4 linked regions of the Tribolium castaneum genome follow. The main gene of each other region encodes a partner of the protein of the gene in region 4 in a complex. Links are inferred from orthologs where the notes say so. Each region holds a gene or a part of one and is shown on either strand. Other genes may lie near its edges.

Region 1 (4,402 bases), on a different chromosome or scaffold from region 4:
CCATTGATTAGAACTTGCTTTTGTGAACTAAGCTCGGCATATTTCCGGTTAAAAATCAACTTGACTATACCTTCCGTGTTATCATGTTCGGGAATTATGTTATAACCGACTGCTTTGAACCGATAAAACGGGTTATGAACTGTGTATTCAACCGGCGGTTGATTCGCACTGTAGTACCCTTTCCCCGTACCCCAACAAGCTTGCAACAAATTCCACTTTTTCAAAATATCATCCCTCTCATCATTATAAATATTAATAGCGTAAATCGATTGGATCACAAGTTGGTTTTGTTGTTGCTGTGTTGTGAGCGCATTTTGCGCAAACCCTACACAAAAATTACAGGTTCCTGTAATTGCTAGTCGGGTACTTACCTGGAGGTTGTGCCGGCTTGGCCCCAAACCCGCCCCCAAACAAACTCCCTTGTGTCTGTTGACCGAACCCTCCACTAGTCCCAAAACCCCCAAACCCCCCTGTTGTTTGCGTAGCCCCAAACCCCCCAAACAACGACGGCGCACTCGTCGTAGTAGTACCCCCGAATAAACCAAACCCTCCCCCTGTTGTACTCCCCCCAAACAGCCCCCCCGAAGTGGTGGCCGTGCCCCCGAACGAAGTCCCGAATAAACTCGGGGCCGAAGTTGTCGCAGTACCGAACAAACTCGGAGCTGGGGTACTGCCAGCTCCGAATAAACTAGGAGTCGAGGTGGTGACCCCCCCGAAAAGACTTGGGGCTTGTGTGGTGGTACCGCTCCCGAATAAACTGGGGGCCGAACTAGGGGTCGAAAATAACGAGGTTGAAGTGGTGGGAGTTCCGAAAAGGGTTGGTTTGGTTGTGGAAGTACCGAAAAGGCCGCCGCCGGTCGATTGACCGAAGCCGGTACCGAATGTCGGGGCTGAGGTTGATGCTGGGGCTCCGAAAGTCGAACCAAATGCTGGAGTGGAAGTTGCAGGAGTACCGAAAGTACTACCGAAACCTGAAGATTGAGCTGGGGCTCCGAAAGTTGAGCCGAAACCGGTCGACGGCTGCGAAGTGGCTCCGAAGGAAGAGCCGAAACTGCCGAAGCCGGTACTAGCCGTGGTGGTGGTTACCCCAAATGGGGTACCGAATGCGGTGGCTGTGGATAAACATTGGAAAAACATAAAACTATGACTAGGTGTTTACAAAAATTAATAAATAATCTAAGACGATAAGAAGTGTGCGTTTTAATTCAGGAAAAATCGAATAAATTGAATAAATTCAGCGAAATTTGTAGTTTTCCAAAGGAAATGGCTACGAAACCACAATCCTGAAATTATTTATTTTTCTATTTGGGTTGTTTCAACGAAAAGAAAAGAATTTCCATGAAAAAAGTATTTGTTACGGGGAAATGACCAAACGGAAACTACTCCTCGGTAAAAAATGCAAGTCAAACTTGAACTATGCGAATACTTATCGTGCAAAAAATACGCTGTTGTTAAGACTTAAATTTATGCAAAAACGAAATAAACACGAAATAAATGAAATTATTTCAATCCTTCAAGTGTCATTCCAGTCAAATTTTTTAAAAAGAATTTAAACACGTAGATAATTTCAAAACAAGTTTTTTTCGACTGCAGTGCCGCTTTCCCAATTTGTTATCACAAAATGACGGATTTTATTTATCCCAACCACAAGAAATTGCATTAAACAGCATTTTGTGACTCATCCCCGGGTTGTTATTTTACTGCGAATGGAAGGAAAGCAGGAAAACCGTGTTCGCACATATAAACACCAGCGATAAAAATTCAAAGCGTGGAAAGAAACTTTCAGTCGCCGATAAGTTCTTGCAGAGTTAAGTGTTTTTCCTTCGCTAATAAAAAGCACAATGTCGGGCCCTACGGTGAGTTTAATTTTTATTTTTCAAGTTGGATTTAAAAATTCCGATTCTAGCTATTCTCATTTCCTATCAAAGGGGCTACTAAAAGTTTTGGAACGACCCTTCAAGTCACAGACGATCAAAACGTACTCAAAATTGGGCAGAGTTTCACTCCCCCAGCTACTACCCTCATCAGCGAAATAACCAACAGTACGGTTACTGCAGAAACTGCTACCACTCCTGAGATTTCTCAAAATATTACAACAACGATTACCACCGTGATAACCGAAGTGACCGACAGTACGACCGAAACAATCGGTATTTTTGAAAACAACATCACTTCAGCAGTGGCCGAAATAAAAAACAGTACACAAAATACAACTTCAACCCCACTTGACGTATTTTCTTCAACTACGGATGTTTCGAACCAAATATATTACGAAGGATACGACGTTGAGGGAAAAACTTTGTACGTTGTTTTGGGAGTTATAATCGTCAGTCTGCTCTTAATTATCGTCATTCTTATCGTCGTTTATAAGCGATATAAAGCCAGCCGTTCAGGATCGCTTGATTGTGCAACCGATTTGAGCCAAGTTACCATCTCAAACGGAAGAATGAAATCGTATTAATTATATTTGTGATAATCTGTTATATTTTACTATCATTATATTTTTGTTACTCGCTTAGGTAGGTTTATTTATATCCTCAAAATGTTATTGCCGAAATAAATTCTTGGTTTATAAATTATAATCTAGGTTTTTTATTGAACACGTCCAGTTTTTCATGTTTTATCAGTTAAGTAATGAAATTACTTTTGTGTACTGTGCAGCACAGACGTGACAAAAAATTTAAGTTAAACACTAAACAAAACATTTTTTAGCGATTTGTTTCAAACAAAAATTGTTGAATTGTTACTCACACGTTAACAATCATCACAATTAAATTTTATAACCATTTAAAACACCAATTAACATTTTATCTGTAAAAAGTGTGGTGATTTGTATTGTTGAGTCTGAATGGTACAAAACGCTGCCACTTTTTCGATTTTTTCTGGTTAAAAATTAAGAACACAAACATTAGTCAGGCGTTTTGGGCAAAATTAAATCTCATTAATTACGGTTTAAAGGGAAAATAAATAAAACCGTGAATACCAAATAACAAAATAGAAAGAACTTAACCTAACTTTCTTACGGTTCTAAAACTTACGTTTATTTGCCGGGCTTCCAAAAGTCGACTGGTTTGCATTTCCGAACGAAAATGCCATAACTGCATTAAATTTAACGTTAGTATTTATATAAAAATAGTAATTACAATTTTTTATGTATTCACAAATTGAACTTAACGAATTGACAGAACTGTCAAACTTCAAACCTAGGTTATACACCGGCAATTTCACAAAATTTCAGCGTTTTCTGTACAAAAAAATACGAAATCAAAAAGTCGCTCATGTGTTTATGTTAATTATCTGGAAATCTATCCATTTCAGGGTTTTACGTTTTTTTAAGCTCATTCCTTTGTATTTCAATTCGGGCTGGCGAACTTTCGGCTTTCATCCCCTTGTCAAGTGTCATTCATTCCTGACATTTGGCATTTGCAATTGTTGGGTTGTGTTTTTTGCACTTTGATATTGCAATGTTTTTGTGTTAAAATTTAGTAGCGTAAGAGTTAGCCTTGATTAGTTTAGCCGAAAAAGTGCGCATTGTTTTATGGGGTTTAAACCGCGGTAGATCCTGTGTCGGTGAATTTAATCCAATTTTTCAATGGCTGAAAGCAACGGCGAAATGGACGACGATATCATCATTAACGACCAAGACGGCCTTCCCAACGTGCACCCCAACCTGCTGGCGGAGGCCGACATCGACAGCCCCGAGCATGTGACCGACGACGAGTTCGAGGACCTGCCGACGTCCCTCATCGTCACCAACATCCACGACAGTGTCTTCACCTCGCCCGGTAATCCGCCCCCAGCCCTCACCCGATCTGACCGTAAAATTGCAGAGAAAAAGCGCGAAATGGAGAACCTGTTCCGGAACTTCGACCCGGACGTGACATTCCAGTGGCTGCGCAGTTTCCGAAGACTGAGAGTGAACTTCCAGACGCCCGTGGCAGCCGCCAGCGCCCGCATTCAGCTCCACCAATACAAAATCAACGACTCAGTGATTACGTGTTACTTTGCTCAACCCGTCACCCCCGTCAAAAACCCCAGCCTGCAGCCGCCAGCCCCCTTCAAGCAGTTCCTAATCTCGCCGCCGGCGTCGCCCCCCCTCGACTGGGAGCCCCGGCCGGAAGGTGAGCCCATTATCAATCATGACCTTCTTGCAGCTTTGGCCACCCTCACGCCGGGGGCGTCGCACGAGGTGCACCCCCCCTCCCCCGGCCAGCCCAGCATCGTGGTGCACACGGCCCTGGGGGCGGACGGCGTGGGGGCCAAAGGCAGGATGCCACAGACGTCGTGTCCGGAACGGAGTTAATGATTTGTACAGGTCTTCAAGGTTATTTTAAGTGTGAGCTTCAGAGCCTCTCAATATGTCAATTTCTCTCTATGTAGAATCTGTCACTCATTTATTATG
Region 2 (4,356 bases), about 21 Mb from region 4:
GGTCACGTGTGACGAACAATTTTTTAAACAATTGCTCTCGCCACATGCCCACTGAATACTGGTTGGCTTTCTCGATGAGTATCGACTTCCGGTCTTTGGCAGCCGCTTGTAAAACATGCCCGGCTTGTGAACACCTGAACGCGGCTTCCTTTCGCCACCTCCGTACCAAATTTCTGCGATTTTCAGGCGCGTGGTTGAACCACATGCTTTGTAGATCGGGTGGCTGTGAGTGATAAGCCGCGAAAAGTAGCGGTAGAGTGATATTTGCGGCTTCCTTGTACTTAATAAGATCTTTTTGTGCTTGTTTAAACACCAAAGTGACGAAATGGAAGCACAACTGCGCGCTGTGGTGATTCAGAAATTCTTGAATGAGGTGTTTGTCGGGACAATCGCCGATGTTGAGAGCAGCTTTTGTCAAAGTTTGGTCAAAGTTAAATATTGCATTGATGTATTCGGTTGTAGTTTTGATATTTTCGCTGGTTTCGGACAAAGTCAATGCGGCCAATTTGTCCAGAACGGAGACCGACAAAAACCAAAACTCCCAACCGAGCGAGTTAGGCAACGAAACCGTTCTTTGGTACTTGACCAAGACCTCGGCTACGGCTTCGTACCAAGTGACATTGCAAAAAATCGCCAAGTCTTTGGCTTCAATATCCGCAGCATGCTTGTACGCCTCTTTCACCAAATGATGTTGCAGGAGATGTTTTAACAGACGCACCCGCAACTTGACGTCAGTCGGCCGCGTTTCTAACTCCTTCAAAATCAGATTGGAGACATCACGAGGATCGTCATTTTCCGACGTGAGGATGCGCTGTTTCAGGTTGAAGATGGCAGGATTGTGAGGGTCGAAAGACTGGGCCATTTCGCAAAAGTACCGAGCACCGGAATGGTCCATTTCCACGTCGTCGGAGGCTAAGAGTTCGCAAACTGGAACGCAAACGTTGCCGAAAAATTAGAAAATAAAAAGCCTTCACGTACCTTTCAGGACGAGATTATTTTGTTTGGAGTCAAGCCGAAGGCTGGTCGTGTAGGCTTGAAGAGCGGCTTCTTTACGGCCCAGTGCTTCCAGGCATTTGCCCAGCAAGCAATGAGCTTCTGCAGAATTTGGTCTTGCACTGAGATACGTCGAGACGTAACGACGAGCGTCCTCGAAACGCTCGATTTTGAAATACTGCTTAGCGAAAGACAGGCAACGAAGATTGCGCTGTAATAAAACGAAATTTACTATTTTACGTATCTTTATTAGTGAAATATTACAGTTAATCAGCTATCACAAATCAAGTCTAGTGTTTTATCAGCTTATCGCACTGCAGACAAAATATGAGGATAATATAAGAAGGCCAATTCAACCCTAACTGTAACTCCAACATTGATTTTTTTTGTCCACCGCTGCAAAAATAATCCTTTGATACTAAAATTAGGGATTAAACCGATAGCTGAGTTCGACCACAATACCCCACAGAGTGGGTGCAATTATGCCCTTGGTAGGCCAGGTAATAGGGACTCATTAAGGAGACAATGCAATGAGACAGTAATTTCTTAGAAATATACCCACCAGAGTCAGTTTGAAAATTAAAAGGAATTGAAAGAAGAATCAATATAAAGCAAAAGTTATTAGAATTTTAAAATCGTAGTGTCGGTATAACTCAATAAAGTTACGAGTGTGCGAGTACGATTATAATATTATATTTTTCCGAAAAGTTTTTGAAGAAATTGTAAAAAACGCTAGTGGCAAATTATATCCGAAGTTTCCTCAAGAAGACAAAATAGTACAGTTTTCTGGTTTCCACAAACATAGACTCAACCATATCGCGGCAAATAATCAGTAACTCAGTAAAAAAAAAAGCTGTTAAAGATTTGTGTAAAAAACATTCTAAAATAATACATTAGGATGATGACTTAAGAGAAAATGATTCCAGAAAATCAGAAGAAATATTTGGCAGCAACATTACAACTAAAAACCAAAAAGCACGAAGATTTTGAATCTTGAGTCGATGAACAAACAAAACAATTGTCTTTAGTTGTTTTAGAAATTTATTTGTTCAGTATAAACACTTTTCATGGTGTTACCTTCGAATTTTGTACTGATTTTTTTGTCAAATGTTCACCGTTCATAGCTTTAGGAATGGGCACTACGTACCATTAGTATTTGATTTGTTACTAAATAAAACTAAAAAATAATATGCAACTTTGTTAAAAGATGTTCATATATAATTTATCTCTTAATTCTAGAAAAATTGTTATTGATTTTGAGTTAGGTATTCATAAAGCTTGTGAAATAACATGTCCAAATGCAAAAATTATGGATTGTAGCTCAAAGCTGTTTAAAAAAAATCCAGACATTACACTTAGTTAAAGAATACAGAGACAAATTCTGTAATAAGTAACGGCGAGTTTTTACATACATACACAATTACACATACAAATTTAAAGTTAAAAATGAAATGTTGGAGCACTTGGAGCTATCATTAACTACAAAAAAAAATTGTGTACTAGCTGTTAGCTGTTCACTGACTCTTGAACCCTCAAGCCGCCACGGTGTAAGAGGTGTAACAAAATTAATAATAATTACAAAATATAATAATTAATAACTGTGTTAATGAGTATTTCAAATGATAGAAGGGTTTAGCCAATTTATTGATTAGGCATGACCTTGCCGGCTCAGCTGGATAACAAAAAAGGCCAACGATTCGCCAACACTGCCAAAAATCTTGGCAAATTGGACCTAACACGAAGCGTAATTTAAGAATTTTTATAATCTAAAAATAATTTCCCGCCAAAGGTTCCCTGCATGTGACATTGATGCGTGAGACATTCTTCCAATAATAAATGATACGCAATTTTTAAAATTAGGACAGGTGGAATCGATAAGGGTGATGGTTTTTTGGGCCCTTTCTGATAAGCAAACGCGTTTTCAAAACGCGAAAAAATGAGAAATTCTCGACCGGCGTAACGGAATGACAGCGATTTCAAAACCTTACCTCTGTCTCGTTATTTATCTTCTTCAAGCATTCTTCAACGTGTTTATCGACATCGGCTTTCCTTGTGGGAAACATTTTGAAAAGCGTCCACTCAAACGTACATTTAAACGAGCAATTTCACAAATTTTAGAAAACGTTTATAAAACCGTTACAACATGAGATTTCACAACGCACGAACGGACGTCCACCATCTTACAACTGACGTCAGTAATCAAAGCTAGGGATTTTGCTTTTTTGGAGGGACCGGTATCCAAATAAAAAAATTAAAAATGCAAATTACGGGCTGTTGTAGCTGTTCTTACAGCTTATCAACTCAGTTACATGACTGTAGTAATTGAAACAAAAATAAATAATCCCACAATGAGCAGTTTTTTGCGTTTAAATGTTGCGATAATGCGGCGTCACCAGTCATACCACCATAGGTTGGTGGCTGCAAAACCCCCACGGCGTCTTTGACGTGTCGGCCATAATTTTGTATCAACTTCCTCAAGAGAAATCCGAATTTTCGCCGGAAAATCGCCAAAAGTATTATTTTTAGAACAGAAAGTGAGTCTTCTATCGAACCCACCTAGACCAGTAACCCACCACCCGCAGTTAGCACCCCCTCATTTTGACTACTTACACCCTCATGGTGCTCAGTGCTAGTGCTCACTTTTCCCGACTTAATTGCAGGAAATGGCTGATAGTGACGATGAATACGACCGCAAACGCCGCGATAAGTTCAGAGGTGAACGCGCCGAAGCCACTTACAGGGGGGCCGAACGGGTTGCCAGACCTAGGGACGACTGGGCCGAACGGTAAGAGTCAATACGAGGCTTATTCGGTCCTAGTGTTGAAATTATAGTGACTCTTGGTCACGACCTAGGCCTCGGGAGTACCGCCCGGGGGTGAGAGACAGGGGATACTCGCCGAGTCTGGACCCAGCCCCCAAGAGGCTGCGCCACGATTACTATGCTGATAGCTACTACAACCATTACTCGCCCTATCACCAAAGCTCGCACAGGTAGTTGCTGGTTTTTGCTAAAATGCATGGAAAAAATGGTGCACCAGCGTTCAAGGTTTATTAAAAAAATTATGATGCTCGTAATTAAAAACTGCTTTAGCTGTTTACATAATATCAGTTAAGAAATCTAGAATAGGGAATTGCTAATGACTTTTGCCCCATTGTGTGTTTTATTTTATCGCCTTGCATGGTTTGCATTTTTATAGAAAATACCGTTCATTGTTTCCTCAAACTGTATCTGAATGTTTATCGTAATTAGTCGCATGTTTTAATTGTTATTTTAGATTTCGTTTTGTTTCGGTTTTAATTTAAAATAACAGTTACTAACGCGTGATCTTCTATTTTCAAAGAGCTGGTAATTTCTTCAGAGAA
Region 3 (4,622 bases), on a different chromosome or scaffold from region 4:
CATAAGGTCAGTGCATTGATTTGTTTTACTTTATTTTTAATGCATTTTAATTTACATTATATAATTCTTTATAAGCTTTAGAAGGTCAAAAATACTTTACTTAATAAATAAGTACTGAATATCTTGCAAAATTATAATCCTAATAAAATTTTTATAAACGACGATATATAAATTTATAATTAAAGTAAAAATTATCGTGCACTATCGCACTTAAAAGCACAAAAATCGCGGAAATTTGAAGTAAAACCGCGCTTACCTGGGTGTTCGTTTGGCCGAAAACGCCGGCCCCGAAGGTGGCGGGCGCTTGCGTGGTTTGTGTCCCGAACAGGGGTTGGGAGAAGGGTTTGGCGCCTTGATTAGCGCTGAAAGGGTTGGTTGCCGGTGTGACATTAAACCCAAAACTTGGGGTGCTAGTGGTAGCGCCGAAAGTGTTCGGTTTTCCGAACAAAGTCGGAGTGCTTGTCGTGTTGGTCGATCCGAAAGCTGGTGTTGTTTGTCCGAAAGCCGGCGCCTGGCCGAATGCTTGCGGTTGTTGTCCGAAGGCGGGTTTGTTATCAGTTTGCCCGAAAAGCGAGGGCGTTGTAGTGGTCGAAGCCCCGAAAGGGGTGCTTCCGAAACCGGCCTGTTGTTGGGGTCCTTTCCGGTTAACCGAATAGTCCTCAAATCGCAACTCTTCCAGCGATTTATTCTCGTATTCTTTCATGCACGTGATGCAGTGGTGTTTGGTACTTATCGACTGGGTTACCCCGTTTTTTTGCATGGTGTCGGTCCCCGTAACCGGATTGAATTTAATAACAGTGCCGGTGGTCTGGTTTCCGAAAGCGTTACTTCCGAATAACATTGTATTAGTGTTTGATTGGAAAAGAGAGGTTCCGGGTTGTTGTTGCGGCTGTTGGCCGAATAATCCGGGCTGAGGAGGGGCCGAGCCGAATCCGAATGATTTATTTTGAGTGAATGCATTTGAGCCACCGAATAAACCGCTAGTTGATGGTTGTGGTTGCTGGCCAAAGGGATTTGTGCCTACAGACAGATTTATTAAGAAACTGAATGATGAAATATCGGACTATTGCCCATTCTGTGCTTGGGAAAAAAAAAGGATATGGATAGGGATCACACATCATTCCGTTAAAACCATCATTGAATATCTCACTTACCAGACGACGACTTACAAGACATCCTAGTTAAACTAGCTAAACAATAAAATAAAATAACCAAATAAATACAAATCATAGGAGTGTCTCCCGATATATGAGACAAGAAGTATACTTACAATGGGCGCTCATTGTCTCATCAGCTAAACCTATGAATCTTTTAAATTAATTGTTTCAATCGACTTAGCTTACCAAACTCTGGATCGGAAATATTGGCCATAGAATAAGTCATAGAACTGGTTGTTGTACCTATCAAATATTTAAAAAAATTTTGGCCGAAAATAACAAACCGTTACTTACAAACACATGAAGCAACTGAAATACCGCCACCACCAACTTAAAAGAAAATAAAATCGAAAAGCTCAACTGTCGCAATACTTACTACTTTGAAGATATTGGGTCAATTGTCGGTTAAGAGGTCTACCATCTTGGCCTATTGAAAATTACTTAATATATACGTAATACCTTAAATTAACTTACGTGTAATAGTAAACGGGCTTAATGGCTGTGGAACTCTCTGTTCTCCTAAATAAAAAAAAATATAGAAACAATTCCAACTTAACAATAATTTCGATTTACCAGAGGGTCCCGGCTCAGCAGCGCGAGGTGAATGAAATTCGGGATACGGTGGTCTGGGAGAAATCTCACCTAAAAATTCCAGAAAATAATAAAGATAAATTTATGACAAAAAAACTCACCAGCACCAGCGTATCTCAAAATGGCTGGATCAACCAAGCCCGGGCTATCTAAAATCAAGTAAAATGCCTTATAACTTTGTTTTTTATTTTATTAGTTGAACTCTTGAATTCTGTGAGAATAATAAACGTCTGCGAGTTCTAGTTCTAATGTGTACAATCTCCAGGAAAAAGATACTATTAATAGTATAAAAGTATAAAGGTTACATTATTTTTTACGTGGAATGTAACTATGTTATATATAAGGTGTTTAGTTTGTACTTGGAGTAGATCTATGAATTCATGAAAACGGCATAGAAATATTAGTCAGGTCACCCTGTATACAAAAAATAAAAGACCTAGAGAGTATCGTCTTTTTACAAGAGTTGTATGGGATATTCCGTCATAACTTCATAAGGAAACGTTATCTGTTTTATTTTTACATATTTATTTATTTTTTTAAAAAAAGAATGTACATTTTGAAAAGACAAGGAAACGTAAACGAGGCTGTAGTAGAACAATATTACTCACCACCACCCTGCACCTCAAATCTACGTATAGCTTCGCGATTATCTGTAAAAAATTCATGAAAAATATTGAAAGTAACAAAAAAATAGAAACTCACAGGCGGCCGTCAGGTAGTTCTCCTCATCTGGAGACAGCGGGAGAGGCGGCTCAACTGTCACAATCATAATAAAATTAATACAAATTCGAGACGCTTTATTATCGCAATGCTGATCTGTCAAAAATCACTCTCTCATTCGCGCAAACCAACTCAATTCTCATCATACGGGTTAGTAAAATACAAATTAGTGTATTTGGTGTTAGTAAACAAAAAGGGAACGTGTTGCACAATAATGGGCAATCATGGGGGCAAGTGTGAGGTTATACTACTTCTGTTTCCTACTAACTTTAACAACTGTTGGGTGTACGTACCGAAGCTGGTTTGGCTTGTGGGCGCCGATGCGAAGGACGAGGTGCTCGCAGACTGGAAGATGTTCGAGGGCTGCATTGATGAAAACATAGAGGTGTTGGGGGCAGGTTGTCCGAAAGTCGAAGTGGACGCTAGAAAACCAACCACGGTAACAACCACCGATTCAGTTCGGCAAACTTACCCCCAAAAGTTGAATTCGGTGGGTTATTCATGAATGCTGGCTTATTCATAAAGTTGGGATACATATTTACGACCACAATTGGTTAGGCATCCATAGAAATCACAGGAGATGCAGCGATTGATTTTCATTAACACCACATTAAAACACGACGGTTTTTACTAATATTTTGCCACAAAAACACAACAGACGGTTAAACTACCGCAAATTTTATTTACGACAACCATCTTGTTTTTATTGTAAAAAGCGGTGGCGCCACCTGCGAGTGGCGCGAAATTAAATTCAAACTGCGCAGCTATCATTTATTAAACCAAACCAATTAATACAATTTTTTATTTTACAACGTATATTGCTTAAAATCGTGTAAGCAGTTCGTGAAAACGTCTTCCACAGTTGAGGGTCCCGCTACAAAATTGTATTCATTATCCAATTATGTAACAAATTAACAAAAAACTCACAAAAAGGATACCATTCATCGCACGAATTTCTCGTTTCCTTTCTGGCACTCGCAACGGCGTTGCGTATCGCCAACGGGACTGAACACGCCAAACATAGCGGTGGTTCCCCGATAGCTACAATTTTCCACAGTTATGATTCCATATTCAAGCTATTTACCTTTGGAATTGAGAACTCCAACGCCATTGGGCGTATCGCCCGGAAATTTGATCCTAAAATCAACTGGAACGTCCCTCGCGCCTGGTGGTTTATAATTCCAAGTGCGATTGGTCAACAACTCGCCGCTTTCGCTAAAAATAATCTTCTCCGACGTGAAATAACCCATGCCCATGACAAACGCGCCCTCGACTTGCCCCATATCGATACCAGCGTTCATGCTAGTACCGGCATCTTCGAGTAAATCAACCCTTTGCACGATATATTGCCCGGTTAAAACGTCCAGCTCTATTTCGGAGGAGCAAACGCCGTAAATCGCGTAATTTTTCAGTTCGGAAGGGCTACCCCTAAAAACATTATTCGGAAATTAATTACTTAACGAATCACTTATACATTGAAGAGGCCGACAAGTTAACATATTGATTGTAACATTCTTGCACAATTTCCTCCCAACTGGCATTTTCGAGCTGTTTTTTGACCGGTTCCATGCGTTCTAACAGGATATCGCACGCTTTAATCACACCCTGTGATAGATATTTGAGAAAAACAAAAAAAACAAGAGTGAGGTAATACGTGACAAACTGTTTCCGATGTTAAGCTACCACCGACCATGTGGGCATTAGGCGCGATCAAATTATTGCTAGGCTTGACCGAAATTTTTTCGACTGGAATTTTCAACTTGTAGGCACACACTTGAATGACCTTCAATTACACGTGTACGATTAGTTCAAATTTAAACAAAGTCACTGGTCACCTTAGTGTTGATACCTTGCCCCATCTCGACTCCCCCGTGCGCGATTGCCACACTCCCGTCCGATTTATAGACGGAAACAACGACCTCATAGTTGCCAAAAAGATGGAAATGATAAACCATTGGCACAACCGCCAATCCCTTCTTCCTCCAGCGGTTCTCCTCATTGAATCTCTTGATTTGTTGCTTGCGCACGTCAATATCAGCCCACTTGTACAGTTCTTTGACGAACTGTGCAAGCAAATCGTGCTCCGCCTTCATGTTTTTAAGTCTGAAGTCGGTCGGGTCTATGCCGAGAGTCACGGCAGCGTGTTCCATGATC
Region 4 (4,294 bases):
GATCTCAAAATATTACATGCAAAAATTATTGGAATTCAAAATAGTAATTTAAATAAATGTATTCTATTTCCTAAAATATTAACCATTGTATCTTCTGAAAAATATTGTTATTTAATGGCAATTCTGAATTATGAGTGGTTAACATATTTGAATTCATCTCAAAAAATGAATAAGCGAGTGTTTTATGTCTTGTGACTATCTTGTGACATTTTTATCGCACTTCTGTCACTTCTCACAAAAATAAATAAATAAATAGAATGCACTTAATGTGCATCTACTTCTGCCAATTTGTGGCTAGGCGTCTCATTTCTCATAGAAGAAAAATTATTACAATTAATATAGTTTGTAAATTTTATGAAGTACTTACCATTTTCTAAAATATGGCACTTTAACTATCACTTTTTAACACCTCACTTGTTGGCAATAAATAGAAAAATAAATATAACGGACTTATTTTATTTATACCTACTTCCGCTACAGTTTATAGCAACATACTAAAAAAATTAAAAACAAAATCAATACACTTTATTCATATTATTACATATTCGTTTCACTTGGGAGGGGGACATTAAGAATAAAATGTACTTATGTAACTTTATGGTATCTTTTTCTGGCACAGTTTTTAGCAAGTCCCATCAGATTATCTTCTTAATTACTTGAAAATATTACAAACTTAATATAATTTTCTAAAAGAACTTTTAAACTGTAAAATTTTTATTTTATTTATGAGGCGTCTCTTCACGACCAAAAGTATCAAATAAACTGAATAAAATTAAACGGCGCAACAATAATTGTGTAAAAATATCGGATAAAATCTCACCAAAAAAATTTTTGTGAGATAAGTAATGGTTCTAAGGTGGAAAACAAAGAGGTTCGTCTGTTTCATTGATTTTTGTTACGACTTCGTTACTTAAGGTTTTTTTGAGGTACCTACCTGACAATTACAGGGATGTGCATTTTTTAAGATCTAATCCTTGAAACTTATTACTTGAGCAAAATTGACAACACAGTTACACTTTAGCAAAATCTTTTTTGTAATTTCGTTATTTTAAAAGATACACAACAAAACTATGAATAATAAATGCACCAATTTTTTTCAATTATTTGTGTAAGTGGAATAACACAAAATTGTAGTTATTTTTTGTGTAAACATTAAAGCTTTAATATTTTAATAATCATATTGGAAACTGATCATCTAGAAAGTACTACTAAAATAGTAGTTACTCACTGAAATTAAAAAAATAGGTATATAAAAAATTACCGAATGGTTATCTATGAGGTACTAGTATTGGGAGAAACTCAAAAAATAGAGAAAGGAATCCTGAAGAATTACTTCGCTTCTTCGTTGAAATTGCAGTTTTTTTTACCGGGCGCTAATTAATATTTGTAAATTATTTTTACTATAATAATAATAAAACATTTTTGGCACAGGTTCAACAAATGCTGAAGCACGCGACTGATGAATACGGAGAACTGGAAACGAAACACAAAGAAATGGAATTAACTCACGAAGAAATTTTGGCTAAGAAGAATGAATGTATCACATTATTAAAGAAAGAATTAGAAACATCAAAAGAACTTTTAGAAAACTGCAAACAAGACCAAATACAAAAAGAAATCGAAGGTTTATCACCATCTGCAGCATCAGCATCACGTCTCTTAAAATCAGGAATGACAGTAACAGAAATTTACACACAATACGTAACAATTTCGGAACGACTGATCGACGTGGAGAAAGAAAATGCCCAATTGAAAAACTACATTAGCAGCATTGTTCACGAAGTTGAAGAAAAAGGACCACTAATTAAAAAACTACGCGAGGATTATAGCAACGCTTTGGACGCAAACGAAATATTAAAAAATTCAAACGATCAGTTGTTGAACGAAATCCAACAATTGCGCGAAGCCAACGTTCAGTGCACTAGAGTTGAGGAAGCCGTTTCAAGAGAGAATGCAAGATATAAGAAGGAAGTAGCTGATTTAAGCCGTCAAGTGTGCCATTTATTGCAGGAAATTGAAAATTCGAGAGTTGGTTCGTCTTCAACTTCGACTGACATGGACTTGAGCGATAGCGTCAGCTCTGCCGATATTATTACGAAAAAGTTGGTCACTTTTAACGATATTTCCGAGTTGCAAAAGAACAACCAAAAGTTACTTGCCATTGTTCGCGAATTGACAGAACGCCAGGAAGAAGCGGAAGCTTTTGATCCAGCGGCAATTTCCGATTTAAAAATGAAACTTGATCATTTGAGGGAATCTCAGAATGAACTGCTTGAAGAACGTGAACGTCACAATAAAATGATGATTACTTTAGGCAATCAGAGAGATATGTACAAGAACTTGTATACACAAGCTGTTAAAGCTGCAGGGGAAGAGGTTCCTTCTCAACTCGACTCTTCATTCAGTTTGAAAGAAACCAACGGGGAACACGACAAAAGCCACGATAATGAATCTCAAAGTGACGACAAAACACAAGAATTGCTCACACAGATTGAAAGTTTCCGGAAAAAAATCGAACACTTGAAGAATGAGAACGAACTATACCGTAAAGAAAAATCAGAGAATGAAAAAATTCTGCTAGAACAGTTAGAAAACATGAGGGCAGAAGTGAAAGAATTGGTTAAAGCCAACTGTAAGTTGCTTTCGCAACAGGAGAATAGTGACGAGAAGTTTAAAATTGCACAAAACAATATTGAAATTTACAAGAAACAGATCACGGCGTTGGAGAAACAGAATAAAATTTACAGCGAAACGATCATCAAGCATGAGCAAGCGATAACGTATCTTAAGGACGAAACAATGCAATCGCAAACGAAACTTGCAAGAGCTGAAGTAATGTTGGCAAATCTTCAGAAGGAGAATGCGTTACTTAAGGACGCAGAGATGCGTTTGCTTAAAGAACGCGAAAGCATAAAACGAGAGTCACACACGCAAAATATGATCCAAAGCAACATTGAATTGATTAAAGCAACGTTAGAACGCACAGACGCCGAAGGAAAATTGAGGCTGGAAGCGAGGTTGGATGAAGCACACCGTGAATGTGCCGCGTTAAGACGCCGATTACAGGAGGAACAAGACAGGTTTAGACAACTGTCCGAACATTTGGAAAGCCAAACACAACTTGCCAAACAACGTATGGGTGAGGAACAAGCCGAAGCGGAAAAACTACGAAAGGAATTAGCCAATAACAGGGAGGAATTGATCCAGAAAGCCAATCAAATCGAAGATTTGACCAAGAAACTCAAAACTTCTGCGTACGCAATACCGGAAAGTAACATCGATGGAAAACGAATCCGCGAATTGGAGCAACAACTAAGCGATGCTAAGGCCGAAATTGAAGCTTTGAGTTCGAAATTGAAAACATCGCGTGAAGCGGCTGAGCAATATTCCAACGTTGCAAGCAATGCTGAGAATCAAATGACGATTTTAATGGAAAAACAGAAAGAATTGGAGGAGAAGATCGAAAGTCAGAAGAACACGATCAAGCAGTTGCAGGAAAAATGCGCCGAGCTGGAGGGAGAATTATCGTTGCAAATGGATGATCAAGACATGGCAAATGCAAGCACTCGTAGCAAATCAACACAGTTGGAAGAGGAGCTAAATGTGAAAAATATGGACTTGCAAACGGCCCGCGAACAGTTGGAAAATATCCGAAATGAGAACAAATCACTCATCGAAAGTCTGAAAGCCGTTGAAAATAAGTTTGCGAGACAAGTGATGTTGCATTCGGCCGATCTACAAATGCTTACTGATATTAAAGCCGACTATGAGAAAGCCACAAATGAATTAATCGAAATGAGACGAAGTCGTGACTGTGCTTTGGAAGAACTCGACAATAATAAAGCTAGCTGGGAGACGCGGGAAAAAATGATCCAGAAAGAACGGGAAGAGTTGGAGCAACGTTTCAAAGACATGGATGCGCAAAACAGTCTATTGTTGGACCAGATTCAAGCTCTCAATACGCAACTATCTGTCCTTCAGGCACAAGCTACCGCAGAACCAAACCAATCGGCCGACTTATCGATGAGTAAATCGTTCACTGAGGACGAAGTCAAGTCTTCCGAACAGTTGCTCACTATAATTAAATATTTGCGACAAGAGAAAGACATTGCTGTAAGTAAATCCGAAATCATGGAAGCCGAATACGAGCGGTTGAAGTCACAACATGAGATGCTAACCAAACAGTTGGAGGAAGCCAAAGCTGCGGTCGAAACCGAGCGACAGAAGTCGGAAGTTTCGGTCGTGACGGCAGCCAAACATGCCGAAGTTTTACGCAAAGTTGAGACACTCAACG

Evidence for each region. The genes of interacting proteins can lie anywhere in the genome.
Region 1: Mgtor (region 4) and Nup54 share a complex: the UniProt entries of both Drosophila melanogaster proteins name them as parts of the nuclear pore complex. The link is inferred for Tribolium castaneum from reciprocal best matches to the Drosophila melanogaster genes Mgtor and Nup54.
Region 2: Mgtor (region 4) and E3 SUMO-protein ligase RanBP2 share a complex: the UniProt entries of both Drosophila melanogaster proteins name them as parts of the nuclear pore complex. The link is inferred for Tribolium castaneum from reciprocal best matches to the Drosophila melanogaster genes Mgtor and Nup358.
Region 3: Mgtor (region 4) and Nup98-96 share a complex: the UniProt entries of both Drosophila melanogaster proteins name them as parts of the nuclear pore complex. The link is inferred for Tribolium castaneum from reciprocal best matches to the Drosophila melanogaster genes Mgtor and Nup98-96.

Annotation. Positions count from the first base shown.
Region 1 is NC_087397.1:2,066,529-2,070,930, forward strand, and holds the start of Nup54 (probable nucleoporin Nup54), read right to left. Parts: upstream 3,197-4,402; 5' UTR 3,097-3,196; coding exon 3,039-3,096; intron 2,583-3,038; exon of another isoform or gene 1,907-2,582; intron 1,857-1,906; exon of another isoform or gene 1,113-1,856; coding exon 372-1,112; intron 326-371; coding exon 1-325. Other genes in the region: sra (protein sarah), read left to right, coding at 3,593-3,785, 3,831-4,303. UniProt on the Drosophila melanogaster protein: Component of the nuclear pore complex (NPC), a complex required for the trafficking across the nuclear envelope. Essential for the nuclear import of nuclear localization signal (NLS)-containing proteins in an importin alpha/importin beta-dependent manner.
Region 2 is NC_087394.1:28,910,837-28,915,192, reverse strand, and holds the start of E3 SUMO-protein ligase RanBP2, read right to left. Parts: upstream 3,197-4,356; 5' UTR 3,057-3,196; coding exon 2,982-3,056; intron 1,205-2,981; coding exon 979-1,204; intron 928-978; coding exon 1-927. Other genes in the region: Ars2 (serrate RNA effector molecule homolog), read left to right, coding at 3,657-3,778, 3,826-3,984, 4,335-4,356. UniProt on the Drosophila melanogaster protein: E3 SUMO-protein ligase. Component of the nuclear pore complex (NPC), a complex required for trafficking across the nuclear envelope.
Region 3 is NC_087403.1:3,513,946-3,518,567, forward strand, and holds the start of Nup98-96 (nuclear pore complex protein Nup98-Nup96), read right to left. Parts: upstream 3,197-4,622; 5' UTR 3,005-3,196; coding exon 2,941-3,004; intron 2,891-2,940; coding exon 2,762-2,890; intron 1,021-2,761; coding exon 257-1,020; intron 1-256. Other genes in the region: uncharacterized protein LOC656938, read right to left, coding at 3,275-3,342, 3,396-3,509, 3,553-3,896, 3,943-4,073, 4,123-4,251, 4,304-4,622. UniProt on the Drosophila melanogaster protein: Part of the nuclear pore complex (NPC). Required for MAD import as part of the Nup107-160 complex and required for nuclear export of Moe probably via its association with Rae1. Plays a role in nuclear mRNA export.
Region 4 is NC_087394.1:8,225,124-8,229,417, forward strand, and holds part of Mgtor (nucleoprotein TPR), read left to right. Parts: intron 1-1,431; coding exon 1,432-4,294. UniProt on the Drosophila melanogaster protein: Component of the nuclear pore complex (NPC), a complex required for the trafficking across the nuclear envelope. Functions as a scaffolding element in the nuclear phase of the NPC.